Linked DNA regions of Rhinolophus ferrumequinum. The protein of the gene in region 3 interacts with the protein of the main gene of each other region in a pairwise test. Links are inferred from orthologs where the notes say so. Each region holds a gene or a part of one and is shown on either strand. Other genes may lie near its edges.

Evidence for each region. The genes of interacting proteins can lie anywhere in the genome.
Region 1: the proteins of THAP1 (region 3) and ACOT7 interact in binary tests that used the Homo sapiens proteins (3 or more experiments, as listed by UniProt). The two-hybrid records come from large-scale screens. The link is inferred for Rhinolophus ferrumequinum from reciprocal best matches to the Homo sapiens genes THAP1 and ACOT7.
Region 2: the proteins of THAP1 (region 3) and C24H7orf50 interact in binary tests that used the Homo sapiens proteins (3 or more experiments, as listed by UniProt). The two-hybrid records come from large-scale screens. The link is inferred for Rhinolophus ferrumequinum from reciprocal best matches to the Homo sapiens genes THAP1 and CHLSN.
Region 4: the proteins of THAP1 (region 3) and GPATCH2L interact in binary tests that used the Homo sapiens proteins (3 or more experiments, as listed by UniProt). The two-hybrid records come from large-scale screens. The link is inferred for Rhinolophus ferrumequinum from reciprocal best matches to the Homo sapiens genes THAP1 and GPATCH2L.

Annotation. Positions count from the first base shown.
Region 1 is NC_046292.1:3,884,223-3,892,341, forward strand, and holds the start of ACOT7 (cytosolic acyl coenzyme A thioester hydrolase), read right to left. Parts: upstream 3,459-8,119; 5' UTR 3,129-3,458; coding exon 2,968-3,128; intron 1-2,967. UniProt on the Homo sapiens protein: Catalyzes the hydrolysis of acyl-CoAs into free fatty acids and coenzyme A (CoASH), regulating their respective intracellular levels.
Region 2 is NC_046307.1:44,272,912-44,280,604, forward strand, and holds the start of C24H7orf50 (uncharacterized protein C7orf50 homolog), read left to right. Parts: upstream 1-4,235; 5' UTR 4,236-4,265; coding exon 4,266-4,329; intron 4,330-7,693. UniProt on the Homo sapiens protein: Hormone secreted from the intestine in response to cholesterol, where it acts to inhibit cholesterol synthesis in the liver and VLDL secretion,leading to a reduction in circulating cholesterol levels. Acts through binding to its receptor, GPR146.
Region 3 is NC_046287.1:57,931,361-57,939,022, reverse strand, and holds the start of THAP1 (THAP domain-containing protein 1), read right to left. Parts: upstream 3,204-7,662; 5' UTR 2,654-3,203; coding exon 2,583-2,653; intron 1-2,582. UniProt on the Homo sapiens protein: DNA-binding transcription regulator that regulates endothelial cell proliferation and G1/S cell-cycle progression.
Region 4 is NC_046289.1:22,707,238-22,715,692, forward strand, and holds the start of GPATCH2L (G patch domain-containing protein 2-like), read right to left. Parts: upstream 3,459-8,455; 5' UTR 3,142-3,458; intron 966-3,141; 5' UTR 956-965; coding exon 294-955; intron 1-293.

The sequences.
Region 1 (8,119 bases), on a different chromosome or scaffold from region 3:
AGCCTCATTTTCCTCATCCGTAAAATGACAGAGCTGGCCTGGAGGCCTCTACGCGTCCTTCCGGGTCCGATATTTATCAGAATTCTGAGTCCAACAAGGACTAGACGTTAATTAATATTACTCAAAATAAACCAAAGGAAAAATTCTTTTCTAAGACTTTAAACACTGTCCCAAGAACCTGCATCCGTAGGGATGGATCAAAAGGAGGGGACAGCGCCCTCCAGTGGCCCAGCCGTCAAAATTCCGGTTCTCAGAGACAAAGGGTTCTCTTGGTGAACGCAACATTTATAAAGGCAGAGCACGGTGCCAAAGGTTTTAATCCTCACAGCACCCCTGAGACAGGCACTCTTGTTATCTCCGATTCACAGGTAAGAAAACTGAGACCCAGTGACACTATAAGGAACATGCCTAAAACTACACACCGGCAAGAGGCAGAGCTGGGATTCAAACCCAGGGTGTCAGCGTCCTGAGTTTGCGTCCCACTTTTCAGACAAAAAGAGCCTCCATTTGCTTACAATGCGCCAGTCATTCTGGCAAGCACTAAATGCATTTTCTTTTCTGTAACACTCGGAACAACCCATGAGAAAATGGGGGCACAGAAGAGTTAGGCAGCCAAGTGGCAGAGGCTGAATTCACACCCAGGCGTGGGACTACAAAGCTGGCTCTAACCACTGCCCTCCCCAGCCTTTAGAGCCCCAAGCCCTTCAACATCTCCTTCGGAACCCAAAGCACGTGAGCACTCTTAACTGTGCAGGATGGTGGGGGTTTGGGCATCTTCCCCCTGCTGAACTGTGAAACCCCGTAAGGTAAGGACCAAATTTTCCAGGTCGGTGTCCCTCCCTCAGAGCACTTTCCTCCTTGGAAGCGTCCAGTGAAACTTGTTAAATTCATGGGTTCCGCTGTCCTAGGCCAGGAGGCTCCTCTTTCAACACAGGGTGTCGGCTCAGATATCCTTAAAGGGCTCCCCACACTGGTGTGTCCACTCTTTCCTGTGTCCTGGGCTTTCACTGGACCAAGCCTTTGTGACCAAGCCCTCCCCACTTTGGCAGGCTCACCTCAGCCAGGTATGCTGCCCAAGCATCCCACAGCCAAGGCAGCCGAGACAATATGCAATTGTGAATATGCAAGAGGCAGTCCGGAAAGCACAGTGAGCAAGAAAAGCCCACACATGTAGGCTTGTGCACATATGGAAGTGTCTAAAGCTATCCAAAAATCTATTAATTGTTAGAAGCTGGGGCTTTCAGATACTTATTTTTTAATTAGATTTATTGGGGTAACATTGGTTAATAACATTATGTAAGTTTCAGGTGAGACGCTGGTTTTTAACAAGATAATATGTGTAGCCTAGGTTTTCATCAGCCTGATGAAGTAAATAAAAGCCCAGCTGTCCACAAATAGACTGAAATCAGTATCTTCTTTTTTGGGAGTGCAGTGGAAAGAGCACGGGTCTGGAGACAGAAGACCTGGCAGCAGCTGCTCCTCAGGCTCTTGTGGCTGGATGACCTTTCAGAGGCACTGGGTCTGCGGAAATTCAATTTCCTCCTCCACATATGGGGAGTGGTGGAGATCCTTGCCTCCTCCCAGGAAGTTGGACAAAACAAGCGCGATGAGACAGATACAAGCCCTTTGCAAAGGATCACCCAGCCAATAAGGTCACCCAGCCAATAAGAGGCAGAGCCTGAACCAAGGACCTGATTCCAGGCCCCGCTCTCTCCAAATAGCAGTCACTTCTATTATTTTTGCCCCAGGAACTTGGAGTGGGGGGTGGACAAGACAGCCAAGAACAAAGGGAATGGAGCAAAGCTCCCCCGAAGATTCCCTCTCCCTAGAAAAGTAAAAACTGACCTTGAAGTCAGTAAAGGCCCTGGACTAGGCCAGAAGAGGGGGTGCGGTCAGGGCACCCCACCGATCCAGCACTTACTCTTCCAGAGAGATGTTAACATCCACAGGAAACTAACCTGGCTTGGACCCAAGGTTAGCGTGATACCCAATGCCCAAATTTGTGGAACCTGCCCCAAAACAGGAAGCAGCTGTCACTCTTAGCGGTGCACCACGCAGGACAGGCCCTGTTGCAGGCCCCCAGTGCCTGTGCGGCCTTCGCAGCCTTGCCCTTACTTAGCTCAAGCTCAAATACCAGCGAGCCTGCTTCAGATTCTGCCCAAGGGAATGAAGAGTAACCTTGAGGCTGCCCTCCATCCTCTGGTCGGAAATGAGCCAGTTCCCGATCTCCCGCTTCCTCTGGGGGCCTCCATCTACCTGGTACCCGTGGAGAAAGGCAGGGGTGGTCTGCTGAGAACAAACAATTGCCCCCATTGTGTAAGATGCTTCCAGGCTCAATGGACCATTCCCTCTTAGCAGTAAACTGTTAGAGAGGAAGGATATTTTTTTTTCTTTGGGTTAATCCTGGTTTCCCCTAAAAAAACCTAAGCGGTGCACTAAAAGGGACTGTACATCTGCAGCCCCCGCCCACTCGGGCACCCACCGATGGGTTCGCCGGGCTCCGGACGCCGACCAGCGAGCTGGTTACTTGCGCCCCACATCTCGGGGGATCCGGTTGGCTTTGCACCACTACCCAGAAAACGACCCTGAATTAGGGGACTCAGTGGGACCTGGGCTGGGGTTCCAGCGTGCTTGGGCACCGGTGGGGCGGAGCTGGGCGGGGCGCAGGGGGGCCGCACTCCGACCCCCGCCAGGAAAGGGCGTCGCGCCGAATCAGTGCGCAAACGGCCTGCGTGACCGCGGCGCCGCCCGGGGGATGCGCGGGAGGCCGGCGAGGACGCGCACGAGGAGGCCGCTGTGTCTGCGGCACCCGGGGCGCACCCGGCCGCGGGCGGGCGGGGTCGGGAGACGGACGGCTGGCCGAAGATGATGGGCCTGGCCCGGGGCGGAGGCGGGGAGAGCGCGGAGGGGCAGGCCGGGCCGTGACCTGGCCTTCCGGCCGTCCTTCGCGCTGCGCGCCCCTCTTACCGGCAGATCTGGATGGCGGACGGAGTCTCGGTGGTGGGGCCCGACATGCTGGCGGCAGCGGCGGCGGGCAGCTGAAGGAGAGCGCAGGTGTCTGGCGGGCCGGGCGCGGAATGAATGAGCCCGGGCGGCGCCATGGAGGGGGAGGGAGGAGGCGGGGCCATGGCGCTGGCGTGGCGGGGCCTCCGGGCCGGCAGCGAATCGGATGCGGTCGTCTTGCACTCCCCACCCCTCCTACGTCCCGGCCCCTGGCGTCCGCGGGCTCCTTGGGCGTCGGGCTCTGGCCGTGGGGCGCCGCTTCTAGAAGGTTCGGCGGCGGTTGGGCGGTGCCGGCGGGACGGCCGCGTGGGTCAGCCTCGCCCCGCGCGGTGTGGTTTGTGCGTGGCGTGCCCACCCGCGGCGCCTGCCAGCTCGTGGTCTCACCGTGCGCCCACCGGGCGGGAGAGGCCGGATGCGGAGGCCCCGTGGCCGTTGCGTGTCAGAAAGGCCTGCGAGAGTGAGCGTCAGGGTTTCGCCTTCTACAGTCAGCCCCGAGAGGAAATTGGAGGCGGTTTCCTGTAAACGAGCGTTCGTGGCGGAGCTGCTGTGTAGAGTTGTGCAGGGCGGCACGTGAATGCACAAAACGGGAAGCTAGGAACTGTTAGGCCTTTGCAGCAAGTGCCTTTGCAGCAGCACCAGCCTAGATGGGCTGGAGAGAAGCAGGGAACCGGGGTCTGTTGACACGGCCCACGCTGCAAACACGGCAGAGGGAGCCCAGGACCATAACAGTCCAAATGTTACTGTGTCCTGGCTTCTGTAAAGAGAAAAGGGTGCTCCCGGGTTAACCACTTGTATATGATTGCCAGTTGTTTTCGAACAGGATCTCAGTGGGGGGGCCCAGTCCCTTAGCAAAAATACCATGAGTTATTTTTGCTATAGTGCTGATGGTTTTACACAATCTCTCCCCTTACAGTCTCTCACCTTCCCCTTTTAGTTTTTTCTACTTTCTCCTCAAGCTACTGGGCCATTTCTATCCCTCTCTTTCAGCAAAACTTCTCAGAGCTGTTTATACGTCCACCCTCTCTCCTCTTCCCTCGTCCCGTTCTCTTTCCAACCCATTCCTTTCTGTTTTTATCTCTGCTGCCCAATTATCAAGGTCACTAATTCCTTCCAAATTGCTAAACCCAATAATTCGTGTCAGAAGTCGTTTTACCTGTCTTCTCAACAGCAGACGTTATCTCTCTCAAAACGTTGACTCTGCCTTCCAAGACATCACCCACTCCTGTTTTTCTAGCCACTCTGCTCAGCCTGCTGTGCTGTTCTGCCTCACCTCCTCCTCCTCAGAACTTGACTTAGAGGAGACCCGAGCAGTGCTTGGACTGGAGGTCTCATCCTCTCTCATGACTTTAAGTCCCATCTAGTCAATAATTGCCACATAATCTGCAGCGCAGACCTCTCTAAATTTCAGGCTCATATGTGCTTTTGCCTAGGCCGCAGCTCACTCAGGCTGTGTCATAGGCATCCAACGCTCTCCACCATCCTCATAGTCCCCCAGAATTTGTTCCTCCTGCAGTCTTCCCACTTCAGTCACAATCCCTTCCTTCCAATGGCTTAAGCTAACCTAGAGTCATCCTTGACAACCCCCCCCTTTCTCTCACACCCCTCATCGAACCCATCAGCAAATGTTGCCACCTCTACATTCAACGTAAGTCTAGAATGTGGTCACTTCTCCAGCTGTGGCATTCAAGAATCTGCCCACACCTACCTCCATGTGTCCGGCTTCACCTACTGCTCTCCCTCTCGGTCACTGAACTCTCGCCGCTCTGACCTCCCTGATGGGCCTTTAATATGCTGAGACCACTTGGCCCTAGGGACCCACGTGGCCCACCCTTTCACATCCTCAGTTCTCCACTCACCCTATCTAAAATTCTCCAACACTCCCTAGCCCCCTCCCTGGTTTGTTTTTCTCTTAATTAGCACTTAATACCGTTCAACATATATTTTACTCATCTATCTATTGTGTCTCCACCAACTAGGATGTATGTTCCATGCAAGCAGGCATTTTTGACTATTGTTGTATCCCAAACTCCTAGAAGAGTGCATAGCTCATAATAGATGCTCAATAAATATTTTACGAATGATTGAATTAGTAGTGGTTTACCAACAGCAATGTATTTAACAACAGCAGATATTTAATTCATTATATTTAATTTGCACACTTTTTGGACTAGAAATATACACAAGTTGTTTTAAAAACAAATATATTATTAAAATAATACCTAATATTTATGGAAAGATACGGAAGAACCTGTTGACACCTTTGGAAAAAGGACTAGGGGTAAGGCCTTTACTTCTCATTTATATGTTTTTGTACAGTTATCATCTAACCATTCACCTACGTTATTACCTTTTCATGGTTAATTACGGAGCATCTGATACGAAGCAATAGGAACTCTTATACACTGAGGTTGGGACTAAATTGGTACAACCTGTTTGGAAAATAGTTTAAAATAGTTACTAAAGTTGAAAATAGCCATATCCTTTACCCAGCAGTTCCACTTCTAGGTATTCACCCGATATATTGAGAATGAGTGCACCCAGATACGCTTCAAAGAGGGTTCATAGCAACACTGTAATAACCCCAGACTGGAAATAACCCAAACGCCCATCAACTGTAGACTGGGTCAGTAAATTGTAGCATACTCTTCGATGCAGTACAAATACCCGTGAAAACCAATGAAATTCCTTTACAACAGGAAAGAATCACAATGAGGAAAAGATCCAAAAGGATACATATAGTGAGTGTCCAGCCATGCACAGAAAGACCTAACATTCCATTTGTGCTCTTATCAAAAAGACGAGATAAATGCTGGAGAGACGTGGAGATAAGGGAACCCTTGTGCACTGGATAGGAATGTAAATGGCTACAGCCACTGTGGAAAGCAGTATGGAGGCTCGAGAAATTACAAATAGAGCTACAATATGATCCAGCAATCCCACTCTGGGTATATGTCCCAAGGAAACAAAACCTTTGTCTCAAAGAGATAGCTGTACCCCCATGTTCACTGCAGCAGCATTCACAATAGCCAAAATGGAGTATTATTCAGTTTAAAAAGGAAGGAAATCCTATCGTTTGTGCCAACAGGGATGAACCTGGAGGGCATCATGCTAAGTGAAATAAATAAGCCAGACAGAGAGAGACAAATACTGCATTTTCTACAGTATGTGGAATCTTTAAAAAAAAGAAGTCAAACTCAAAGAAATCATAGAAAAGCGATTTCCAGGACTAGGGGGTGGGGAGAAGAAGGGGAGGTTGATAACAGGGTACAAACTTTCAGCTATAAGAGGAACAAGACCTGAGAATCTAATGTATAACATGGTGACTATAGTTGATAACACTGTGTTGCATAATAGAAATTTGCTAAAAATAAAATATTTGTTAGGAAAACGTAAGTAGATGGCAAATCTGTAAAGAAAAACATGGACATGATTATCACAAAAGTCAAGACAGTGGGTCCCTCGCAGTGAGAGGGAGAAGAGTATGATCGGGGTGAATCCCACGGGGTGGGGAGAACGGGGGAGTATGTTCCCTCTTGACTCAGGCGATGGTGTACAGCTTGATAATTGTTTTTATACAATGCACATATGGGCATTACGCATTTTTGTTATATCTAGTTCACAACTTTAAAAACTAATGTACCTGGGAAGTGGGATTATGGACTTTTTTTTTTCTATGTATTTTTAGGGAAGTAGCAAGCCTAGTGGTTATGGGTTTGGACTATGTAGTCCAATTCCCACGCTCATATCTTTACTATTAGCTGTGCAGCCTTGGGCAAATTACTTACTTACTCTGTGCCCAAGTTACTTCATCAGTAATGCTATCATAGGGTGGTGAGATAGAATAAATATGGGAGAGAAGCAACAAGCATTCTAAAATATTAGCTATCAGTACACTGGTATTAATGTGGCTGCCCCAGCTTTCTTTTGATAAGTGTTAGTATTGTATTTTTTTGTTTTTGGGTTCTCCAAAGAAACAGAACCAGTCGGAGATATATAGATATAGATGGAAAGAGAGAGAGATGGATTTATTATGAGATTGTCAAGAATTGGCTTACATGATTATGGAGGCTGAGGAGCGATCTGCCATCTGCAAGCTGGAGACCCAGGAAGGCCAGTGTTGTGATTCCATCTAAATCCAAAAGCCTAAGAACCAAGGGAACTGATGGTGCATATCCCAGTCCGAGGGCGACACTCACACTGGGGAGGGCCGTCTACTGACTGAAATGCTAACCTCACTGGAAACACCCTCACAGACACCTCCAGAAATAATGTTTAATCTGGGCACGCCTAGGCCAGTCGAGTTGACACATGAAATTAACCCATCGTAGTCTTCTGTCTTTTCACTTTAACCTTTCTGTCTCTATATTTAAAGTGTGTTTCTTCACCAACTTACATTGGGTTACTTACCAAGGCAAATCAGGATAGAGGAAAATTTCAAGAAATCAATTAAGGTTGTTCATTTTCCAAATCATAGGATCCTCTCTAGGGATATTTGGTTTCCTGTCTTTCTTCCTCCATATCTTATTGGTTAGCTAAGGCTTGACCATGTTCCTTCTAATTGACTTTTAGTTTCTTCTCCATTATCACCATCATCACTCTAATCAGATTCTCATGGTCTCATCCCAGACTTTTCAGAGCTGTTCTAACCAAATTCAAATATTTCAAAAAAAAAAAAAAAGTGGGTTAGGGTGGAGTAAAGAAGTGGGCCCCACAGAAGAAAATAGAGACTGTTCCTTGTAGAATTGCATATAGTAGTAGCAACTTGCATTTTTATGCAGTCTGACAATCTTTGCCTTCTACTCGGAGCATTTAGACCATTTATACATAGTGAAATTATCAATTCGTATACTTAAATCTATCATTTGCTATTTGTTTTTCTATCTGTACCATTTGTCCTTTGCTCTTTTTCCCCCCTCTTCTCCTGCCCTCTTTCGGAGTGTGTGTGTATGTTTAATAATTCCTTATCATCTCCATTCTACCTGTACTATGCCAGCAGTTCTCAACATGTGCCCTGTGGACCCCTGGAGGTCCCTGAGACCCTTTTAGGGGGGGTCCACGGGATAAGAACTATTTTATAATTATACGAAAATGTTATTTGCCTTTTTCATTCTCATTT
Region 2 (7,693 bases), on a different chromosome or scaffold from region 3:
CTCGTGACTCCAGCCAGGACTCAGGAAGAGAGGGGCAGCACATCGTTTATGGGGGTGCTGGGGATGCGAGTAACAACACACTGGGGCTTGGTGCAGGTTGCCTGCGTGTGTGCACGGACAGGAGCGTGGGGTCTCGCAGGCCTGGTGCCGGCGTCGGTGGAACCCCGCGGCTATGGGCCTGTCAGCAGGCATGGGGGTGCACAGCTTTTCCCTTTTCTTGCCTTATTGCATGGCCAGGACAGGCAGCATGATGCTGACCTGCTGGCCGGCCGTGGTGGGAGTGGGTCTGCTGCCTGGTTGCTGACCTTGGGGGGCAGGGGTTCTTGTATATGTCACCTGTCAAGTTGAGGAAGCTCCCCTCTTCTAGTTTCTTGAGAATTTATATCATGGATGGATGTTGAATTTTGTCAAAAGCCTTTTCTACAATTGATGTGATTAGGTGATATTTCTTCTTTAGCTTGGGGGATTACACGGTGGATTATATGGATTGATTCTGGAATATTGAACCAGTCTTGCATCTTGGAGTAAACTCCACGTGGTCCTGGTGTATCATCCTATTTCTATGTTGCTGAGTAGGATTTTTGCATTTATATTCATGAGGGATTGTGGACTGTATTTTTCTTTCTCTGTACTGTTTTTGGTTTTGATATCAGCATGTAATACTGGCCTCAAAATGAATTGGGATGCGATCCCTCTACTTCCATTTTCTTCAAGAGATTGTATAGAGTTGGTGTGGATTCTTCCTTAAGAGTTCAGTAGAATTCCAGTGAAGCCACTGGATTCGGACATGAGCTTTTGGAATCGCAGACATTGGGGCCAACCCTTGCCAAGGCCCCACGACTTCAGGGTCAGCGAGGCCCACTTGGCAGAGACACCAGAGCCCGGCTGCTCTGGAGGGGCTGGCAAGCGGCTGTACAAAGGCCTTCAGCAGGATTTTGCTTTCCTCCCTCTTGCTTGTGGCCAACAGCGGACATTGCTCACCTGGGGCTCGGGCTGGGTCTTCACCCCTGCTCCCAGGTCCCACCTGCAAGCACTTTGCCTCCAAGCAGGGGTGTCCCTGGGGGCAGGGCTGAGTGGGAGGGGAGTGGTGTGTGCAGGCACTGAGCTGGCTGTGAGCAGCTGTCTGTATCCAGACAGCGCTCCGAACCCCAGTCTCCTGGGGGTTGCCCCAGCGTCAGGTTCTCCAGGAGGTGGCGTGCCCAGGAAATTGGGCATGCTGATCAACCATTCTGGTTCAGAATGTCTACTTAGGACGTAGTTGTTCTTTCCTTGGTGATCCACATGATTGTGGGGTGCCTGATGCCCTGGATTTGAAAACAAATTCTTATTGCCTCTTGGAAGTTTTGGTGGCAATTTCGTGCTTCCAGAACTCCAGCCTGGCAGGGTTGCTTATACCCCACCCCCGTGTCCCCAGCCGCCCCGGCTTCCCCTCTGCCTCACGTGGGCCTCTGGGCCCCTCCGCAGGACTTGGGTCTTGCGTCCCCGCTGCCTGGACCACGTGTCTCCCACATGTCCGAGAGCTGTGTGCACTCCCTCACTGCCAGGTCTCTACTCAGCTGTCACCTTCCTGGTGCCATTTTCCTTGACCTCCATGCTCCCACAACCATTTTAAGTTACAAAACCTGAATAAACCTACTCTCTGTCTCTCCTACCTAGTTTTTCTCAGTATCGTAGCCTTCTAATGTCATCTTGCCGTGGGCAGGTATCTTAGTCTATTCGGGCTGCTATAGCAGCGCACCACAGACTGGGAGGCTTATAAGCAACAGACATTTCCTCCTCTCAGTTCTGGAGGCTGGAAGTCCAGCATCAACGCGCCAGCAGATGCCATGTATGGTGAGGGCCACTCCTCGCTGTGTCCTGCCATGGCAGAAGGGGCCTCGCCTTACCCGGGCACTAATCCCACTCATGAGGGCCCCACCCCGACACCGTCACATGGGGGCTAGGGCTCAGCATGTGACTGTGGGGACAGAACACGCAGTGTGTGGCAGCAGCATGTTGGTTCTGTTCCCCACAGCACGCTAGCACTTAGGGCGGCTGGCGTGAAGAGGGTGCAGAACAGGTGTTTGTGGGGTGCATACAGGTCCGTCTTTCTGACCAGGGGCTGCTGCTGAGCTGACTTGCCTGTGGGGGTGGGGTGCTGGGGTCTCTCAGTTCCCTCGGGGCTGACCCAGCTGCTGCCTCCAGGTTCACATGGCAGGTGGGCCCCTGGGTCACACCCTCCCACTCCACCAGCTGGACCTTGGTCTCAAAGGTGCTTGGGGTTGTACCGGGTACCATTCCTCTTGGAGCCCTGGTGCTGAACCACGGGGTGCCTTGGCAGATAGCCTGGGGAACAGAGGGTGTCCTGCAGGCTGGGCTCAGGGCTGAGACGGGCCTAGGAGGGAACCCGGGCTCAGGAGTAGGCAGACCTGGCATACTTCACACCCTCTCTGAGCCTCAGTTTCTCCATGTGGAAGGGAACATGAGTGACAGCCCGCTCTGTCTCTGCGTGTCATGTCCTCAGCCAGCATCTCTGTGCCTGTTCACCCTGCTGCCAGGCCATCTGTCTCCCCCTCTCCTGTCTCCAAAAGCAGCCCATTGAGTCACCAGAAGACGACAGTGGATGAAAGCGGCTGACGAGAGGGCCCTTGGTTCAGAGGACTGACCATGGAAAGAAAGGCACTAGAAAGTCAGCACACAAATCCTCTGGGACTCCAAAGACCCAGAACTGAGTTCATTCCATGAAATTGGCAACTTGGAAACTTTTTTTTTCTTTTTTTAACATTTCCATATCTGTAAAGTGGGACACTGATGCCAGCATCACAGAGATTAAACAAGGAGGCACAGGTGAGCTTGCCTAGCACAGAGGCCACTGTAGGGGGCGGGCGCCCACCCTGCTCTGCCTCCCCTGCATCCCTCCCGCTCTGGTCCAGGCCTGTGGGTGGCGGGGAAATGACCAAGAGCAAAAGCACAAAGGGACGCAGCCTTGGCTCTGGGACCTCAGAGATCCTTATCAGGCTGGGAAGGTGGGACACCCACACCCCAAGCAGGACATCCACACCCACTGGCCGTGCACAGTGGGCAAGGGAAGAAAGGGCTTCTAGAGCACACCTCACAGCCCTAGTACAGGGTGTCTGGAGCACCTGGCCTTCCCCAGAGACGCGGGTGAGACGGGCCTGTTCAGGCCCCTGGGACCAGCCCCACCTCCAGAGCCTACTGTGGGCCCTTGGGGGTGCTGCAGGAGTGTGGTTTTTTCCTTTGGATCATAAAATTGATCTGCAGTCTTGCCTTAGAGGGAACACAATCTCTCAAAGAGGTTTAAGGCGCCATTGTCCAGGACAGAGCTGTGTGACTCATTCACTGATTCCCTGGGCCTTTACTGAGCAGCTGCTTCTTGCTGGACGTCAGTGCAGTGGTGAGCAGACACCCCCACACCCCCTTCACCCCTCCCCCCCCCCCCCCCCCCCCGTCCTTGTGGAACTCGCATATGGGGGGACTGGACATTAATGAGAACGGGGGGGGGGGGGGCGCTGCTCTGGGGAGTGCGGGGCGCCATGGTATTGGGAGGGTGCTCAGTAGGTGACGAAGAGGGGTCCCTGAAGCTAAGGATGACTTAGGTCTGAAGTGAGGACAAGCGAGCGCTGCAGGCAGAGGCCCTGGGGGGACACAGGAGGCCAGGGTCAGGGAACCTAGGGTCCTTTGCTGCAGGTGGTGAAGAGGTGGGAATGGAGATGGCGCGCGGGGCCCCAGCCTCATCGTCAGATTTGCGTCCGTGGTTTGCGCAGAGAAATGGGGAGCAGCTGGGGGCACTGCACCAGCTAGTTTTCCTGCCTCCCGTGTGGGCGCTGCCAGGGAGCCTGGCGCCATGGCTCTCGGCGAGGAAAATCGGAAGCAGGGCCTGATGACCGGCGGACCCCTGGACGTGGGCTCTGTGTCTGCAACTTCGAGGCCGAGCTGCGGACTGAGAAGTTGCCCTGAGCCTCGGATCCGTCTTCTGAACAACCTTGTTAAATAGGGAACCCGGCAGGGTGGGTGTTAGTCCGTGCCCATCGCCCGCTGCCGCGTCTCCTCACCCCGGACTACATGGCACGGGGGGCTTCCAGTGTAGACCCTGGGTGGGTCTAGGGATCTGCGCCCCTGTGTAGCTGTCGGGCCCCGCCCACCGCCGGAGCCACGCCCAGCCGGAGCCACGCCCACCTCCCGCTTTCCACACGCGGAGCGCGGGCGCGCTTGCGTCACCGTCCAGCCGGCTGGATCTGGTTCCAGCCGCGCTGGGCTAAGCTGACATGCGCAGTTCGTGGGGGCTGAGGGGTACGGGCCTGGGCAGATTCGACAGCCGGGGACGCGGAGGTCGGTGCGCCGAGCCCCGGAGCGGGGCCCATGGGGCGGGCAGGTATCCGTCCTGCACGTGCGCGTGGGGGGCAGGGCTGTTCCCGGAGGGGCTGCGGGAGTCCCGGCGCGTGTGGGCGCCCTGCGTCGGCCTCCACCCTGGAGACCCCAGACTTGGGCCCGAGGGCGTCACCGTGAGGGCGTGGCGCCCCTCCCCCACTGGGTTGGGCTCCACCGTCGTCTTGGGGCCCCGGCCCGGCGCCCCGCATTATCCCTGTTTCCTGATTCCCGTTTACAGGCGAAAGAGGGGACTCTGAGCCGAGCTCCAAGCCTCGGAGCCCTGCATGGGGAGGAGGAGCCCTGCCGAGGGGATCTGGGGTGATCCCCCGACCTTGGGTGCCCGCAGACCCTCGGGCTGCTGCTCCAGGCCGGAGCTGTGTGCGCCCTGGGGTCCAGAGCCCTGGATTCTAGTCTCAGCTCCAGGCCGTGTGACCCCAGACAAGCTCCCTTGGCTCTCTGGCCCCATTTTCTAATCTATAAAACCCGGGAGTGGTCTCAACTACCATGTTTCCCCAAAAATAGAACCTAACTGAACGATCAGCTCTAATGTGTCTTTTTTGGAGCAAAAATTAATATAAGACTCCATCTTATTTTACTATAAGAGCTGGTCTTATATAATTAATGTAATACAATACAATACCGGGTCTTATACTAAGTTTTGTTCCAAAAGACACATTAGAGCTGATTGTCTGGCTAGGTCTTATTTTTGGGGAAACACCATAGTCTTTAACCTACCCCATCCCCCCAGGCCAACCTTGTGGTCTGTTTGTGACCAATGTTCAGGGCCTTTGGATAGCCCAAAGCCGCCATACCTTTGCAAGGCCCACCCCCATATTGCACATTAAACATCACTGTTTTGAAGCAAAAACCCTCACCAGTATTTACTATTTTGCTTCTGAAATTATTGGGCTGTGAGTAACGCATTATTTAGCAATGTGATTGTTTTTAAAAATGCATTGTTTATGCTCAGGAATTCTTGCAAAGTGAGAAAAACCTAACCCATAAATAGTTTCCAAATGTGATGAAATGATTTTGAAAATTCCATTCAATAATTAATGAAGTTGATACAGTGATAAACATTTGTTTTGATTTGCTGTTTATCTTGAAGCCAATAACATGTTTTGCTTTGATTTTTTTCCCCCATAGCTTAAAGCTTTTGCAGGTCCTGAACAGCCGAAGGGCAACAGGACGGCTCCTTAATGGGGTGAAGGTGGGATAGGAAGGGGTCCTGAGATGAGATTTTAGTTGCAATGTTATTTGCTTTGCACCCAAAGAAATGGCAGTTTCTCTTCTAACAACAAGGAGCACGAACGCTACTGAGGAGGTGTTGCAGTCCAGAGACTGCTAGATTGAAATGGGATGAAAACATTTGAAAATCTTGAGCACAATTATTTTTTCCTTAAGGGAAGTGGTGTTGGTCAGAAGCTGTAGGAAAGCTCGCCTTCTGCGCCTGCTCCTGGAATCCCAGGCCGGCCTCTACTGAGCTGGGGAGATAGGTGTCTTGGTGCCTTGGGGATGTGTTTCAAATGTCCTTCACATGACAAGGTCAGCACTGCCAAGTTAGCAACGACTCAGCTAATTTTTGGAAGTTTTGAGTACGTTTTATGTGTGTTGAATGTGATTCCTAGACTTGTTTACAGCTCTTGTACTTAGTATCCAGTCGGCCGTCAGCCTACCAGCACGGCATTTCCAGATTAAAACCCACTGCAGCCATCGCGTCCTAGTCAGCCACATGTTTCCACAGATGAAATAAAGGCAGATTTGAAGTCTAATAGTTAGGAAGGAGATGGGCATGGCTGGGACCTGCAGAGCAGAGCGGCCTTCTGCTGACACGGAAGCACGGCTGTGGATGTGAACCTCACCTTCCAGAAAGGCCGTCGCTTACGCCCCACATTAGGCTGTCGACCATGCAAAACACAGCAGGGCTCCAGGCCTGCCTGGGCCCACTAGTAGTGGAAGAAACGGGAGCACTGTAAGTCATCAGGCAGCATCCTTATGCCCAAAGTCAAAGGGGGGCCCACCGGCCATACACAAGGATAAACAGCTCATGCAAAGGGGACCTCACCAGGGGCCTGTTTGCTGTCCCCGAGATGTGGGCAAAATGAGGCCAAAGGCTTAGCTGAGGTTCTGGGAGGCAGTGGGGCTGGTGGCCGGCGTGATGGGCAGGGCTGCCCTTGGAGGTCGGGGAAGCCGACCTTGGAGGCAGGAGACTCCGCTCGGCTCCCTGCTCCGCCAAGCAGTTCGCCATCCCCCTTCTGGTGGCAGTGCCGTGGTCTCTGCAGCTGTGAGGTGTTGCAGTGTCCTAGGGATGTGTCCTGTGCCTGGGCTGTGGAAGGCCCCAAGGAGGCAGCGACGGCGGACCCGAGCAGCCTGCCCCAGGAGTCAGCATGCCCTCCAAGGCCTTACAGACTGGCTGTGAAGGAGCAGGTCCTGCTGAAATCCCAAAGGAAAGCCGCTTTTGCACAACCCCACCCCCACCCCCGTGAGAAGAATCACTGGCCCCTTGGCTCCTTGGAACAGGGTCTCTGGAAATGGGTCACGCGGCCCTCCTGTCAGCATCGTTCTTCGAGGACTGGAAGTGTTCCTGATGAAATGCGCTGTATTTTCCCTGCCTACCACTGTGTTCTGTGATCTCTAAGACCTCAGCAGCCCTGAAGAACACTCGCAGCCTGCGGGCACACAGGTCACATCTGAGCCACCGACGTCCTGTGGGTTGCTTCTCACCTCTCCCCCACAAACTCCACTGCCAACGTCGCCCCTTTTCCCACAGGCTCAGGCAGAGCCTCAGTCACAGCTTGGCTCGGCGTGCTCCTGTGTTGCCCCGCCGTCCCCACCTGGAGCTCTTCACGTGTGTCTCAGGGACCAGGCTCACGTTTTACCCTGGACCTCCATCTGGGGGGTGCTCTGGCAGAGGAGCCGCTGGGATTGACCGGATTCCACCTTGGACCAAAACTGTTCTGGGGACCTCCACCCGTTAGTGACACTGACTCATCCTTCTGGGTTAGTGCCCACCCCGTGTACCTGCTTGTTAGAATTCCTCCCAGCAGAGAAGGGGCTGGCTGCTGATTGGTTGTCTCTGGCTTACAAGATAAAGGGAGGCAATGTAGGTGGCATTTGTGTTGATGTTGGCCCTTTAGCTCTGTCCATCAGCCTCGGGTCCCTGTGGGCCGAGTCAAAAGGCCCAAAAGCTGTGCTCCTTCCCTGGGGGCCAGCTTTCCCCAGCGACCACTGAGGTCAGCCCATCGGGTGCTCTGCCCTGTCCCTCCCCCAAAGCCCCAGCCTGCCTTTGCTGCCTCATTCCGTCCATCTGTCTGCCTCCACTGGA
Region 3 (7,662 bases):
TTAGCCATGCAGTGGGAAAAGTAGGTGATGAAAGGTTGGGGGTGGAGGGCCCATACACAGTATATTGTTTTTCCCCCTTCATTAGAGTAAAAAAACTTTCAATAACAAATGCAGGTATCATGTTTCCCTGAAAACAAGACCTAACCAGAAAATAAGCCCTTGCATGATTTTTCAAGATGACATACCCTGGACATAAGCCCTAATGCGTCTTTCGGAGCACAACTTAATATAAGACCCAGTCTTATTTTCAGGGAAACACGGTATTCCACACACTTCTAAATACACATGGGTAAATCGTGTAATTCTCTTATCTATCTCATTTATTATTGTTTAAATTTTTACATTGAAGACACTAAAAGTTTCAAATAAAATGTATACTATAGGGTGAATCTGTATTTTTTTTACCAGTAATTTTCTGTGTACTGTAAAACAAAATTGCCTGTTTATTATCTAAATACTGAGAATAGGAAGCTTCTAGTTCTCTTAGAATCAGTCTGACAAAAAGGAATAATCAAATTATATACTTAAATCATTAAAGAATTTAAAAACTCATTTTGATTTACCTCTTTATCTACTGGAATATGTCCAGTAGGCCAGATAAAGGGACGTAGGAAGAGTTTAAATTTATTGTGATTTTATTTTTCCAGGTCAAGGATTTAATAAGCTGGGGGGGACTGGAAAGAAGCCAAAGAAGGATGTTTCCAATTTATGTTCCAGTTTTTCCCATGTAAGGTATGCTAGAACCTTACTCTGTTATTATCATGAAGATCTAACCAATCTTTACGAAAGTCCCTTTTCTTTGCCTGGCATAGCTCTTCCCACTGCCACCATGTAGAAACTGGGGAAAGAAGTACTCCTAGAAGATTCTGGCTAGAAACGGCCTCTACCAGTGCAAAGTATGGTAGCAATCATTGGTAAAATTTAGCATATAGGGCCTTCTGACTCAAGCACTACAAGTGCTCAGGTTGTTTGTGAGGTTTTATCAAAATCTTTCCTATCTACTCCTCAAAAACTGTTCTTTTAGCTAAGGGATGAAATGCACAGGGTTAGCCCTTCTTTTGGTTGAATGAATTGTTTAACAGCCAGCAGAAACTCAGTAATTCTGATGAGTGAATGTCATCTTTTAGTTTGCAGTGTCAATGAAGGATTTTCCATATTTTCAGATTCCCTTTGAAACATCATGAGAAACAGGGAGGCGGGGAGCTGAACCCGTGTGATTGTGTTACAACCTCCTGACCTATTCCTACACTTTCAAAGTCCTGGAAAGGTCAATTCATCAGCTTTCAGAAATTCCAGTAATTCAAGAGGTAATATTAGGATATAATGAACTGAATCCTAGAAGTGGTAAATGTTCTAGCTCCTTCTCAGAAGAGAGGAAAAAATCAACACTCAACATCTATGCTCTAGGCACTCTTATTTCTGTATGGTCCCTCTTGTATTATATCAAGAATGTAAAAAATGCATCCACATCTGCTTTTAAACATAAATGACTTCCACCAAATAAAAACCTGATATTTAAAATTGTGCTATTGTAACTATTTAGCTATGAGTAATTCATGTAATTCACCACTGGTTCTAATTTCTTAGCTGTCATCATTTACAGCAGAAAATTCTTGCAAAAATTTGACGTAAACATAATAAAACTTGTAAATACTGTAGAATTTGGTTGAATGAAAATGCTATCGTGTCACCTCGCACATTTTGCAGGTATTTATCATTAAGTCATTTCCATTTTGCGGTTTTCTTTTCAAGAAAACATTTTCCCTCTAGGACTCTAATTGCCAGCACCTTCAGCATAAAACAGTCCTGAAGGCTGTGGGGTAGGTTCTATTCTACGGGCTTCCTCTGTGCACCCACAATAGCTCACATTGACCTTTATCATAGCACTTTATCATGGTCCGTATTATTATTGTCCATGTTATCATCACAGTGTGCTGAAAACATATACTCTTCATCTTAGCAGCACTAGAAACGGTCTCTAAAACGTAAGAGATCCTTAATGGTTGATTCCTAGAAACTGGGTCAAAAACATCCTCCCTGAAATCCTGGCCAAAAATCAATCCATAGTGATGCTGGGCCTAACATCCACAGCAAGGATGAAAAGAATGACTTCTTTTTAAAGGTCTCTGTTTCTATTTCAAATTTATTTCTAAAGAGTTATTACCACCTGGCTTCTCTATGACCTGGTAGTGAAATCCAGATGCCTCGCGGTCTGGAGACCTCACAACCCGCAGGGACTCGCTTGGAATTGCTCGCGGGTCCGAAACTCGCCAACCCCAGGCAGCGAGCAAACCTCGCACCGGAGTGGATCCTCAAACTCGAGAAACGATCACTACGGCTACGCGCGCCGAGATCGCGCAGCCCGGGGCTACCCGGCGCGGGCTTAGATCACAAGCGGGCACGCCCACCGCTTCCCCGCCTGGAATAGCACCGGAGGAACGCCCGGCCGCGCCCCGCCCCTGCCTCCGCCCCTCTCGTTAGGTCTCGCGCGGACACGCGCCTGGCTCCGCCCCCGAACCTGAACGGACGCGCGCCCCCAGCCCGAGCTGGGGCCAGTCCCGCGAGGCGCGAAGGGTACTTACTTGTGGAAAGAAACGGGCTTATCCTTATCGTATCGGTTCTTGCAGCCGTAGGCGGAGCAGGACTGCACCATCCTTTCGGTCCTCCGTCGCTTCACTTCTGCCGCCGCAGCTGGCAGGTGAAGCTGCTATCAGTGTCGCTGCGGTCGGCTTTGACACCCTCACTTCTTCTGTAGCTTTGGCCAACAGTTAGGTGAAGATAGCTTCACTCGGAAGTGACTAATGTGCCCGTTTTGTTATTTCCAGTAGCAAGAGGACCACAGCCATCTCCCCACTCCCATCTCCAAGATGGCGAAGGCAGCTTCAACCTCACTTCTCGCGAGGAGTTCGTCCTACCGTCTGTGATTAGCCCTGAGGTCAGAGGTAACGTTCCCTGAGAAGCAGACGATTGGCTGAGACCCGGCGTGTTGCCCGGCGGGCTCAGCGTTGCGGAAGTGGGCGGGAGAAGAAAGCTTCCGGAAGGAAGAAAGAAACAGCCTGGGAGTAGAGGCGAGGGGACCGGAACGTGAACCCGGATCGGGCTCCGCGGCCATCCTTTTCTTGAGTTAATTTATCTGGGGGTTTAGCGTGGAGAACAATACGGTCTGTTGGGTCTGCTGGCCTAAAGGAGGACAGGTGTAAAGCTGAGGTCGTTGGGTAATTGCGCCCATTTTTTTAAAAGGGCAGCCACTGATTGTATATGATTTGTAAAAATGTTGATGGAAACAACACAAAGGTCCATTACTGAACTGATTGTATATGATTTGTAAAAATATTGATGGAAACAACACAAAGGTCCATTACTGAATGAATAAATTGTATCGTCATATAGTAGACTACTATACAGCAATCAAAGAAGCTATGACTAATACAATATAGGTGGTTCTTACATGAATAAGTCAAATAAAATATACGATCCTTTTAGGTAAAACTAAAGTGAGAAGAGGTTACTTTGGGGGAGAGGCAATGAAGGGGGCTTATGGGATGGTGGTAATGTGTCTTGACTGAAGTGATGGTTAAACTAATTACCACTTTATAATTATCTGACCCTTATTTATTTGTAAAACGGTGTTTTTTGTACTTTAATAAAACAGCTTACTAAGCAAATGAGCCGCACAAAATATGCAGGACTGCCTTTTATTAGAGAATGAGCGATGTTTGTGTTCATTTGTTCTCTTCATTTGCCCATTTAAGTGAAAGACAATAGGGATAAACTGAAGAAGGTTAATTGGAAGTTTGATGTTTTTCAAAGTCTTGAAAGGCCAAGAGATAATTATTTACTAATATAACACTTTTTAAGGAAAAAAGATGTCACCCTTGATATTAAAAAAGTTTTGTTACAATTATTCTAGAAAGGTAAACTTTGTCTTGTTTAATAAACTGAGGAAAAATAAGACCCTTGTTTTGACATAGGAGAGGGCTAAAGATGTTTTTGAACACACTAATATCTAAGTTTAGGTTTTAATTTCTACCCAACTATGCTTTCTTTTTCTATAAACAATTTTTATTTAAAAAGATACTCTAGCATTCATTCTCTATGGGTCTCATTATCTTCATCTGTGGAGTAAGGCTGTAGCATGAAATGAGGAATTCTTAATTTTGAATCCATGAATGGTCAGTTCTTGAATCCCCTGAAAATAAATTGAAATTATACATACATGTGTATGTATGCATTCTTCTGGGGAGCTATCCATAGCTTTCACCTGATTTTCAGAGAAAATACAAAAACTAGCCAATTTGTAAGGACCCTTACAACGTTAATATTCTAGGATTAGTGAAACAAGATTTTCATGTAGCTAGAAATTCCAGGTTTTCTCTAGCACCGATTAGAAGGGTGAATGTTTTGATCTGAATATCAGGTATTTTTAAGTAGTTTTTAACTTTGTGTTTTAAAACATTGAAATCTAAACTATTACGTATCAAGTGAGTTTAAAACATCGTTAGCCCTTAACCCTCTCTTATGTCACATACTACTTTCCCATCAAAAGGCCTACAGCCAAATAGCACTACTCTTAAAAAGTAAGTAAGTATTCAAACATGCTCAGTGTTTTCTGACAATGTTTACTCCTCTCATGCACCAATCTGGGACATGGGATGAGTCAGAGGATGCAATTAGATAAAGATGACAGTGACTGATAACACCTCAAATTTGCTTGCAGTCTTGGACTTAGTGCTTAAATATTGATGCCATAAAAATGAGCTGGTTCTGATAGAACACAAAATTTCAATGATTGTCTTTATCTCTGTGATTGTCAACAGCCCTTAAAGCCTACTGGCCTGGTCCTGGGAGACAAGTCTTAGGGTCTTCAAACTTTGAGTGAGTGCCCTTTCCTATTCTGACTCAGTCGCAGGTTTATGGATTGCTGTTTGGCAAAATGGAAGAGCCTGAAGTACATTTCGTTTCAGAGAGAAGGGAGAGAGGCAAACATAAGAGACACAGTCTCAGGAAAGTACATTTCCTTTATCAAATACACACAAAAGGAATAGGTGTGGGGAATCAGGGTGCAGGCCTAATCTCTTAATTCCAATTCCACCCTTGTCCAGAATTAATATAGATTGCCCAGATCAAATTCTCCTCAAAAGCATTTCTACTTTTTAAATTTAAAAATACCTAAGCAAAATTAATTAGAAATGTGACAAAATACTTCATGTCCATTAATGAAAAAGAAAGCCATTGCAACCATTATATTGAATACTATTTCAGGAGTTCGGAATTTGAAAGCAAACAATATTAAAGAAACAGGAAGATAACAAGTACTTTTTAATTTTAGCTATATTGCTTTTATTCAAAAGAATAACTTCTTGACAAACTCTTAAATCACAAAGTTTGAACAAACTGTCAATCTTCTGCAACAACTCTGTGAGGTAGGTATCTGCACAGCCACAGGGACCAACAGTACTTTCTTCCCTTGTTGCTTTCAAAGGCTGAGAATTGTAGTAGCTGAAACCACTCTCCTAGTGGGCAGTTAGAACAATTGTTTCTTCCTCTTGTTCCCCACAGATCTGCCCAAGTTACCATCTGTTCCTGGGGTTGGACCATCTGTTTTTGTGAAGGTTACAATATTGTTTACAAAAATCCAAATTGTTGCTTTGATTTATATGATCTCAGTTTGAATCATAGAAGTATTATTATGTTTAAAACACTGATTGACTCTACTTGCTTTAAATACTCAGATACTTTCTACATTTATTATCAGGGATCAATAAAGATGGCATAGTAAGCAGGTCTAAAATTCTGAGATGTCAGCATGTTCCGTTTTCAGGTTGATAAGACCTCAGATCATACAGTGTTTCCGTATGTTACAAAAGTTGGTACAATACAACTCTACCAGGCAAGTTTTAAAAGGAATTGCAAATATTACAATAAATCATTATAACTAGAAATGTGACACTTGAAGCAGAACACATGCACAGAAAATGAAATCCTTTCAAAAATGACATTGCTACATAGCCCCACATAAAATTTATAATTGGTAGGAAATGCATTTCTAGTCTGGGATAACAAACTCCTCCTACTATTAGCTTTTCAAGTTGGTAACTGCAGCTGAAATGCTTTTCTATGAAGTATGCTACCTTATTAGATGTTTGATTTGGAAGTAGAAAATTAGGGTTTATGAAGTCTTGATATGTCATCTTTCTAGACCTTTCCTCGTAGGAGCACCCAAGCTATCCTACTCCAGTGTGTTCCAAAAGACTTCCAAAGCCCCAGTTTCGCTCCTGCTTTCCCCTCTTTGTAATAACCTTCACATCTATCTGAACCCATGCACGAGTCCTACTAAGAGTCTAATATCAGTTCTGTCACTTATTTGTGTGTGGCTAGACAAAAACCTTAACATCTATAACAGGGATTTCTTCTATGAAAAAGAAGACAGGGCCGACCAGGTGGCTCAGGTGGTTGGAGCACCATACTCCTAACTCCGAGGTTGCAGGTTCAATTCCCACATGGGCCAGTGAGCTGTGCCCTCTACAGCTAAGACTGAACAACTCTCCCTGGAGCTGGGGTGCCATGAGCTGCTGTGAGCGGCGGACTGAAGAATGGCAACCGAAGACTGGTGACCGACTGCCTGGGAGGGGAGCGCAAAGCTCATAATACCAGCATGGATTAGGGAGCTGTGTCCTACACAACTAGACTGGGAAACAACAGCTTGAACAGGAGTTGGGGCGCGGAGAGGCGGAAGAAAGGGAAAAAAGACAATACTTTGCCTTCTTCACATAACTGTCTTAAGAATAAAATGAAAAGTATGCAAGAAATTGCTTTAATTATAATGTGCTATATTTAAGTATTGTTTTCTATGACAAGCAACAGCTTTGTCCTAGGCCCAAATTAGAAAACACTATTGATATTTTATTCAGCAACTCATTAGTTGATGGCTAAACTGATTAATTTGAGACTGTGACAGATGTTCTTTTTCTCCCTATCTATATATAGTGAGGCTCATTAATACATGAATGGACAGTATGATTATCAGTGATTGCAGGTGACAGAGCTAACACCCCTGGGCATCAACGACAACCCTGCTGTCCAGTTTGCTAATTAGCAGTGCCCCCTGAGAGAGTTAGGATTCATAATACTTGTGGTTTTGATTCTTCTCAAACAGAAAACTGCAGAAGAGCGCAAGACACTTACGCTGTAGTCATTAAAAAAGCAAGATAACTTTCCTGTTAAATCACCTCAGACAACATTTGCTCATTCTGCATAAGACCTGATGAACCTGGGCTATATGCTGTCACCTAAGAATAGTATTACAAAAGTTTTCTGATTAACCAAATTTGTTCTTTCTGTTTCTCTAGCCCAGCAGTAATTTCTCTTGTCAAATTTAAAGTGTTCCTAGTTTCCTCCCTAAGGCCTTTGATACTCAAGCCATGAAGAACCCCTTTCCTCAGAAATGCATCAAGCTACTAGGTTTGCAATATTACTCAGGTTCCTGAAAAGCAAATTCCCTTTATAAGTTACTTTGATATACTATTCCTATAAAAGGACCAAACTCTTGTTTAAATATCATAACTAAGAACATAAGTATGCTGGCTGGAGATAAATGTCTTACATTTTGTTAATTCTTCTATTAAGAAGTGTTCTGAAAACCAGAATGTAAAATCAAATTAT
Region 4 (8,455 bases), on a different chromosome or scaffold from region 3:
CCACATGACATAAATAACAGCAAACTGTTTTTAAAATAAAATTCTGGTTGTGCATTTGAGGTACACATTTTAAACAATTTTTAATGTGTGTCTATGCCATTATAGCCCTCTACAGAATCATGAATGTTCTTTAAAAAGCTAAAGACAAATACTGGCTGACCGGTTAAAGGAGGGCTGTGCAGTCAATACCACAGTGGCAGGTTTGAAAGCAAGGTGAACTCATCAAGACTGTGGATTTGTACTCTGGGTAAATTAACCAGGCAAATCTTTGACTTAGTGAAGGGAGATCTCACCATTCTGACATGTTCTCATCAGAGCCCTGTTTTTGTTCATCTGCTTCACACGCCATCCTTTCTTTCCTTCCTGTTTTGCTGAGGAAAGTCCTATTTTCTGCTGATTCACACAATCCGTGGCCAGATGAGGTCCAGGGAGTGTTCTCCTTCCAGCGTGACAGACGCTGCTTCTTCGCAGACTTGAACCGACACCCTCTCTCATAGCTCCAATCGGACACCTTGAGCTTCTGCTGAAGGCTGGCAGCCACCTCTGATGTCACTCGCTTCACCTTCCGCCGGCGCCTGAGTGGTCGACAAGGAGCATTTTCCGTAAAGGAGTCGGACTCATGCCAAGAATGTTGCTTACTCTTAACAACGGCGTTGAGAGCTGGGTGCCGTTTGGCTACCATTGTGTCATCGGAGTCACTAAAATTGGTGACCGGGGCCACTTCTCGACAGTCCTTAATGGCCTCCTCCAGACTGGACTCAGAGGCCTCACTGTAGCAGCAGGTGTGCTCTGCCAGGTGAGTGAAGTCTGACCGGCGCTTCCGGCCTCTCCGTTTGCGAAGCTGGCGCCTCTGCTGCCGAGGGCTCAAGGCCATATCCTCCCAGAGCTCACCCAGCTTCTTCTGTTCAGACGTCTGCTCCAAGGCTGACGTGAGGTCGTGTACCAGCTCATCCATGAGGCCACATCTGCCAACAGGAAGTTCAAAAAGAGAAAAAGAGAGCCTGAACAGGACCTGTTGTTTTAGAGCAATTTTTTAAAATAGATCACGGCACTGCGGAGCCCGCCCAAACTATAGAAAATAAACTCACATTTTATCTGGCTACACTTAGAATCTGTTCCTACCATCCATGCTCATTTTGGCCACTGAAAATAGGTGTTTGGCCCTTGTTCAACTCCTGAAGTCAACATGTTTTTAAGCACAAAAAAAACAAAAATTCAGCAAATGACAACTGGGATATCAGCAAAACAAAGCAAACTCGGGGAAATAAATCTTTCCCCTTTTTCCCTAATTAAACTTGTCACTAAATTACATGACGATGAGATCCAGAAAGACTAGAGAAAGTCTCATCAGACAGAAGCAGAAAAACACACAACTTCAAAACCATGGATGAAGGACTGTTTTATGGCCGGGGGTTACTAGTAAGAATGCTGGGGAAGGGAACAGAAAGACAACCTAATGACACACTTTAAGGAAGGCTGCTTGCAGTTTTAGTGATCCAAGAATTTGTACTGACCCAGGTTTGTACTCTGACTGGAAAAAAGATACTAAGTTTACACCTATTCTGGTCCCAACTACCACCTGGAAGATACCAGGTAAAATCCTTATAGAGTACCGCATATATTTCTTAATAATTAGCAATTTTTAAACTCTTTTCCCCATCCCTCGGAAAATAAGTGATCAGCCTGATTATGTGCTTTAGTGCTAGACAATCACACATAAACAGGATATAACTGAGATTGAAATTACAGGGATGTGTGGAGTCCCTAAGATTTCTAGCTAACTGCTTTCCAAAATTTCCTACTTTTCTATTCATTCTTGTCAGGGTCACTTCAGAGGCAAACATTCCAAGGGATGAAAGTATATGAGCAATTTTCAAAATGCCCTTTTATAGGGAAATGTCTAATATAATTTGTACAACACCTAATTAAATACATATTAAATTAGCACTTTTCCCTAGCCCTTGTTAAGCCCCAAGTATTTCTAGACCATAATTAGAACTTAAAACTGCATGGCGCCACTCTCAGACCATATTTCCGTTCACGCAGTTTACATTTTGCGAAAAACTTTCTAAAAGCTATTTTCATGCTGTCCCTATGCCAACGAACTCAAAGGCAGGAAAAAAGCTGGCTTGGCTTATCTCCCACAATGGTGGGAGCAATGGGGACAGCTAGTTCCAAAACTACCAACCAAACAAAACTCAAAGTGTCAAAAGCCACACATAAAATGACCACTTCCCTTTAAGCAATAAGTAGTTTAAAACGCCATGATTGGGGTTTGGGAGACAACTGTCCTAAGACCAAAGTAGATAAACAAGTGGGAACAGCATGTCTAAATCGACTTCCCTCATAAAGAACTGCTTTAAAAACTCAGGCAGAACTGTACAAACTTCAACGTGTAACTAAGTTACCAAACAACTGGGAGTCGAATGCCCGTGCAGAATCTTTTCCTGCCTCTAAGACTGCAAGTGACAGAAGAACCCTGCAGGTCCCACACCACTAGTGTCGGATGCACAGTCCAAGAGGACCCCCGGGCACAGGCAAGCACTCATGGAGAGGAAAGGCTGTCTGAGTCGCGCCAAGGAAGGGGAAATTGGTAGAAATGAGACGCAGGCGTAGGGTCGGAGCGGGAGACCGGGCTGGGGTCGGAGGAGGAAGGAAAGGCCGGAGTCAACTTCTCATTCGTGATCACCAGGGGCGGGGCGGGGGGTCGGGTCAGCTCTTCTAGGATAGAAACTGCGAAAAAGCAAGTCCTGGCGACGAAGCTCTCTCCGTGCAAGGGTTGCAACCTGGCCACAGACGTGAGAAAAAGGCGCGTTTCGAAGGACTCACCAACGCCGCGGCCCGCCCCCGAGGACTAGGGCGACCATGGCTCTGGACACCAAGCCCTCACGTTGTCCTCGGCCCAAAAAGAGCCATAAAGAGAAAAGAAGAGGTGACTGTCGCCCCGGAAACGGCCCGACTCTCATCCCCTGGGACGGAGGAGATGGGCCCTGAAAAACAAGGCCCCACCATCCTCGCCCCTCCCGCCGGCCGCCGAGGTCCCAGGAAGCCCCTGGCCACTCAGCCGCGACCAGGAGCGCGAAGCCCCACTGGCGCCGGCCCCTTGGCCCCTGACCCTCTCAACCCACATTTCCTCCTCACCAGCTGCCGCAGGTACCTCCACCGGCCTCCGCTTTTTTGGCCGAGTCTCCCCGCCGGGGTTCCCCCTCTGACCTCATTTCCGGTATAGGCCGGAGGGGTGGGGCAGTGCGGAGTGGGAGGAGCTTCCTGCGCGAGACAGCCCGCCCCGGTCCAGCGCTTCCGGTCCGCGGCCCGGCCAACTTCCGCCCTATGGAGGGCGGGACCTTGGGGAAACCCGGAGACCAGACAATGCGCTAGAAGCGATTGCGGTTGTGGCCCCGGCAAGGCAGGGGGTGAGGAGCCCGTCCGGGGAAGAACCCCCCCCCCATTGCTGGCTTCATCTTCTTTGGGGAGGGGCATCAGGAAAGTGGGCGCTAGGGAGGGGCGTAGGCCTCGCCCTTGTTTGCTGAGCTACTTTTATAAAGGGTGTGACATGGAGGGGTTATGGATCCGCATTTTAACCATCAGAGTTGGTATAACCTTTGGCGGGGTAGCTTTACTCAATGGGTTACTCAGAGTATTAAAAATACACATGCCTTGATCAACAAAACAGTGCTGTTGGTTTATAACTCCAAGTATAAGTGAACTACCCATGAGTTCATACTGCTGTAAGTTAATGATACGAATACTGATATGAATACATTAATAAAGGAGAAGAAGAGCTAACTCTGTAAAGCAGAAGAATTCCAAGTAACTTATGTAGATACCCCACCCTGACGCTTAACTCCCAACTTCGTAAATGTGGGCTGCGCATAGTGACTTCCTTTCACCGAGTACAGTAAGAGGGGGGATATGAGTAACTTTATAGTAGAGAAACGAGACACATACTACCTCTGCCAAGTGATCAAGGTTAACATCAACAGTGATAAATCATGTTGGCAGTGTGTGGACCAGATATGATGAGAGTGGTCTTTTATCTCTTGGCTTTCCAAACCCCGTAACCCCAGTCTAATCATAAGAAGAGAATCAGGCAGACCTCAATGGAGGGACGTTCTACAGAATGCCTGACCAGTATTCCTCAAAATTGTCAAGGTCATCAAAGACAAGGAAGGTCTGTCACAGCTAAAAGGAGCCTACGGCAACATGACAACTAAATGTAAAGGTGTATCCTAAATGGGATACTGGAACAGCAAAAAGGACATTAGAGAAAGAGAGAGAGAGAAGGAAGGAGGGAAAGAAAGAAGGAAGGAAATATGGATAAAGTATGAACTTTAGTTACTAATCATATCTCAATATTGGTTCCTTAATTGTGACAAATGTGCTATATTAACGTGAGATGTTAATGGAGAAACTAGGTGTGGATGGGGACACGAGATGTTAATGGAGAAACTATATAGGAACTGTTTGAAGTGTCTTTGTAATTTTCTGTAAACCTAAAACAATTCTAAAATTAAAAGCTTTTTTTTTTAATGCACATGCCTTTTGACCCAGAAATTCAGCCTCTAGGAATATTATTCTAAGGAAAAATTGGAAATGGGCACAAAAATGTTAAATACGGGTAAATCCATCTTTGCAACATTGTGGAGGGAGAGGTGAGAAATAAAGCCAGAAATAAATAAATACTAGAATAAAGCCAGAAATCTTGCAACAGTGATTAGTCATCTAAATTATGGTACAGCTATGGGATAGAATACCTTGTGGCCTTTTAAAAATTGATGTGGGAGAATATTTAAGGACATAAAGTGTCATCAATTTCTGATTGTGTACATTTCTGCATGACTGTTATACTTCAATAAAACTGTTACTCTAAAAGTGTAGAGTATGACTCTATTCATGTATAAAGGAAATTAAATCTATATTTGCATAGGAATATGACCAGAATGATACACTAAAAATCATCTAAAATATTTCCATTATAAACAACTACCTGTTGTTTTTATGGATTTTCAGAATTTTCTATAGAGGAAACCTACTGCATAAAGAATTAAGAGAGGAGACATAGATGATTGAGGTTTTGAGCCAGAGTGAATATGAGATTGGTCAGTGCCATTTGCACAGCTAGAGAAGAAGAGAAATAGGTTTGCTGGGAAGATGATTAATTCCACTCTGGACATGCTGATTTTGTGACTCCCACAGGACAGAAAGATGGAAATGTTCAGAAGGTGTCCACAGCCATCAGCCTGCTTTTCTGCTTAAGTGATGTTCTCCACTAATCATATCAGCTCCCGTGGTGTCAGTTGCTCCCATCAGCACTGAAAGCACCCACATTTCTTTAAATCCAACTTGTATTTTCAGCTTTCTGCAAGATATCTCCACTTACTTACTCCACCAGCATCTCCAATTTAAGATGTCAAAACAAAGTTTAGTTTCTTCCATAGTCCCTATCCAATATGCCCCTTTTCCACTGTCCCCTGTTTGGAAATCGTCACCCCCATCATGAAGTTACCCACTTGAGAAGCTTCAAAACCATTTGTAGTTCCTGCTTCTTCCTTATACCTCTTCATCTAATACACATCTTCGTGGATTCTACTTGTAGAGTATTCTTGCATCCACCCTCTCTCTTTTGCTTTCTCTCTGCCATTGGCCTCGTCTGGGTAGGCAGCCACTCTTCTGGATGGTGCAGCTAGGCCAAGACTATTTAAGCTTCAACTTGTTGGGGGGCATGGGGAAATGTAATAGAAGGGCAGCTCATGCTGACTTCGTAGAGGGGCCAGAAAAGGAAATTAGGATTTATGGAGCACCCATGCGCCAGGAACTGCCCCAGAAATGCACAGAAGATTAAGTTAGATGGTAAAATAATACCATCATGTCGTTTAACGATGGTGATACATTCTAGGAAATGCATCGTTAGGCAATTTCATCATTGTGCAAATATTAATATCATAGCGTGTACTTACACAAACTTAGATGGTCTAGCCTACTACTCACCTAGACTATATGGTATATAGCCTATTGCTCCTAGGTTATAAACCTGTACAGTATGTTACTGTACTGAATACTGTAGGCAATTATAACACAATGGTATCTGTGTATCTACACATACCTAAATATAGAAAAGATACAGTAAAAATACAGGATAAAAGATTTTTTAAATGGTCCACCTGTATAGGGCACTTACCATGAATGAAGCTTACAGGACTGGAAGTTGCTGTGGGTGAGTCAGTAAGTGAGTGCTGAGTGAATGTGAAGGCCTAGAACATAACTGTATATTGCTGTAGACTTTATAAACTGTCCCACAGCCCTCCCCTGCTTCCTTCTGACAGGGTCAGAAATAGAACATCAAAGCTGTCAGTGCTGCTCCATGAACGGGTGTGGGCTGGATTAATTAGAAATATCAAGGAGAAACTGGCTGGGTCAGGCATACATCACCATAACAGTGACTGTCAGGAGGGAGTGAAAGGTGGCCTGAGGATCAGGAGGAATAAGAAATCAAGATGGAGAGATCGAGGAACATAGGAAATTATCATGGCAATGTGATTTGGGCTATTGCATGTTGGAGCAGTGGTCAGATTAAGGAACTTTGCGGTATTCTTTTTTTTTTTTTTTTAAGGTGTTTAACGTGGAGAAGATGAAGAACTGAGGACTCAATATTTTGACTTTGGAAATTTGTTTTTGGTTCCATTGACCCCATCTGGCACAAAGGGCTCTCTCTGGCATTGAACTGATGGAAGAAATAAAACTTATCTGTGCTTTACATCATTACAACCTGAAAATATTTAAAAAGTACAGGCACAGGCTGGCTCCACACCACCACAGAAAGCTTTTACTAAACTGACAGTTTGCCAGGAACTGCCCCTGAAATGCATAGATTAGTACCAGTTCCTGTGGACATGTGTTTTTGTCCAGCATCTTAGGTCCTCAACAAAGAACTTACAGCAATGTATCTGAAGACCATCAGGCTACATCTTGGAGGGCTGTAGTGCCCTCTGAATATACAGTGCTGGGGGGACAGGTTTCTCTGTGCTGAAACAGATCAGTGGCTGACTGACTGGGGTATAATCTGTGCACTCAAAATTGAGGTGCCGTGAGTCAGAGGGATCTATTGCCAAGCTCCACAGATCTGATCCCATTAGGGAAAAAAAAATCCTCCTGAATCACGTTACCATTTCCTACAGAAAATTCAACTTTGTTATAGTCGTATGGGTCCACATATATGCAGTGCGTGGTTGACGGAAACTTTGTTATACATGACTGTAGTAGTTAACATCTAGTGAGCACTCAGGAGGTGCCAGACACCATCCTAAACAGCCATGTGGGTTAACTCAATAATCCTCACAGAAATCCTATGAAGTACTCTTATCTCCATTTTACAGATGAGAAAACTAAGGCAGAGCGGTTAAGTAGCTTGCTCAAGGCTGCACAACTGGTAAGTATGTAACCAGGCAGAATGACTCGAAGAGCCATGCACTTAACCACTACATTATAATGACTCTAATATGAATGTGAGTGCTTACCACATTGAATGCACGTAACAATACCTACACACATGTAGGATATATGTTAATTGTTAGACATATGTGAATTATACAAAAAGATTTGTACCTCCATTATTTAACGACAAAATCTTTCAATTAATCCTCAAAATTACACTTTAATGTAAGTGCTATTGTCCTGACTTATAAAGATGAGGAAACTGAAGCTCAGAGAGGTTAAACAGGGTCGCGTAGCTGGTGTGAAATAACTGTGACGGAACTAGGCATCTGACTCTACAGGATACTCTTCTTTTTCTTGTACTCTCTCCTCTGCTTTGGGGAGGTATTTGGCAGGTATTGCCTGCACTGACATTCAGTCAGTCAGTCAGGATATACTTAGGGAGTGTCTACCATGTCCTAAATATATGAAGGTGTATCCACGAACATCATATACAAAAGTCCCTGCCCTCAGGATTCTTCCATTCCAGGGAAGGAAGACAAACAATTAGTGGATCATTGTATGAACAGTCAGGTGGTGGAAATGCTTTGAAGAATAACAAAGCAGGATAGGGGGAAAGGAAATGCTGGCTGTGGGGACTTGCTGCTATTTGTGATGTCTCTGATAAGGGCTCATGTGAGCAAGTACCTCAAAGAAAGGAGGAAATGTGCCATCCAACCATCTCTGGGATGAACATTCCAGGCAAAGAGAACAAGTCAGGGGAGGGGCCATGAGGTGGTGTGTTAGTTTCCTAGGTAGGACTATTGTGACAAAGCAGCAAAAACCGGGTGGATTTAAACAGCAGAAATTTACTCTCATAGTTCTGGAGGCCAGACATCCAAAAATCAAAGTGTCGGCAGGGTCGTGCTCCCTCCAAATGCTATAGAGAAGGATCCTGTTCTCCTCCTAGCTTCTAGTGGTTCTCGGCATTCCTTGGTATCACTCCAATCTCTGTCTCCATCTTCACATGGCAGTCTTCCCTCTG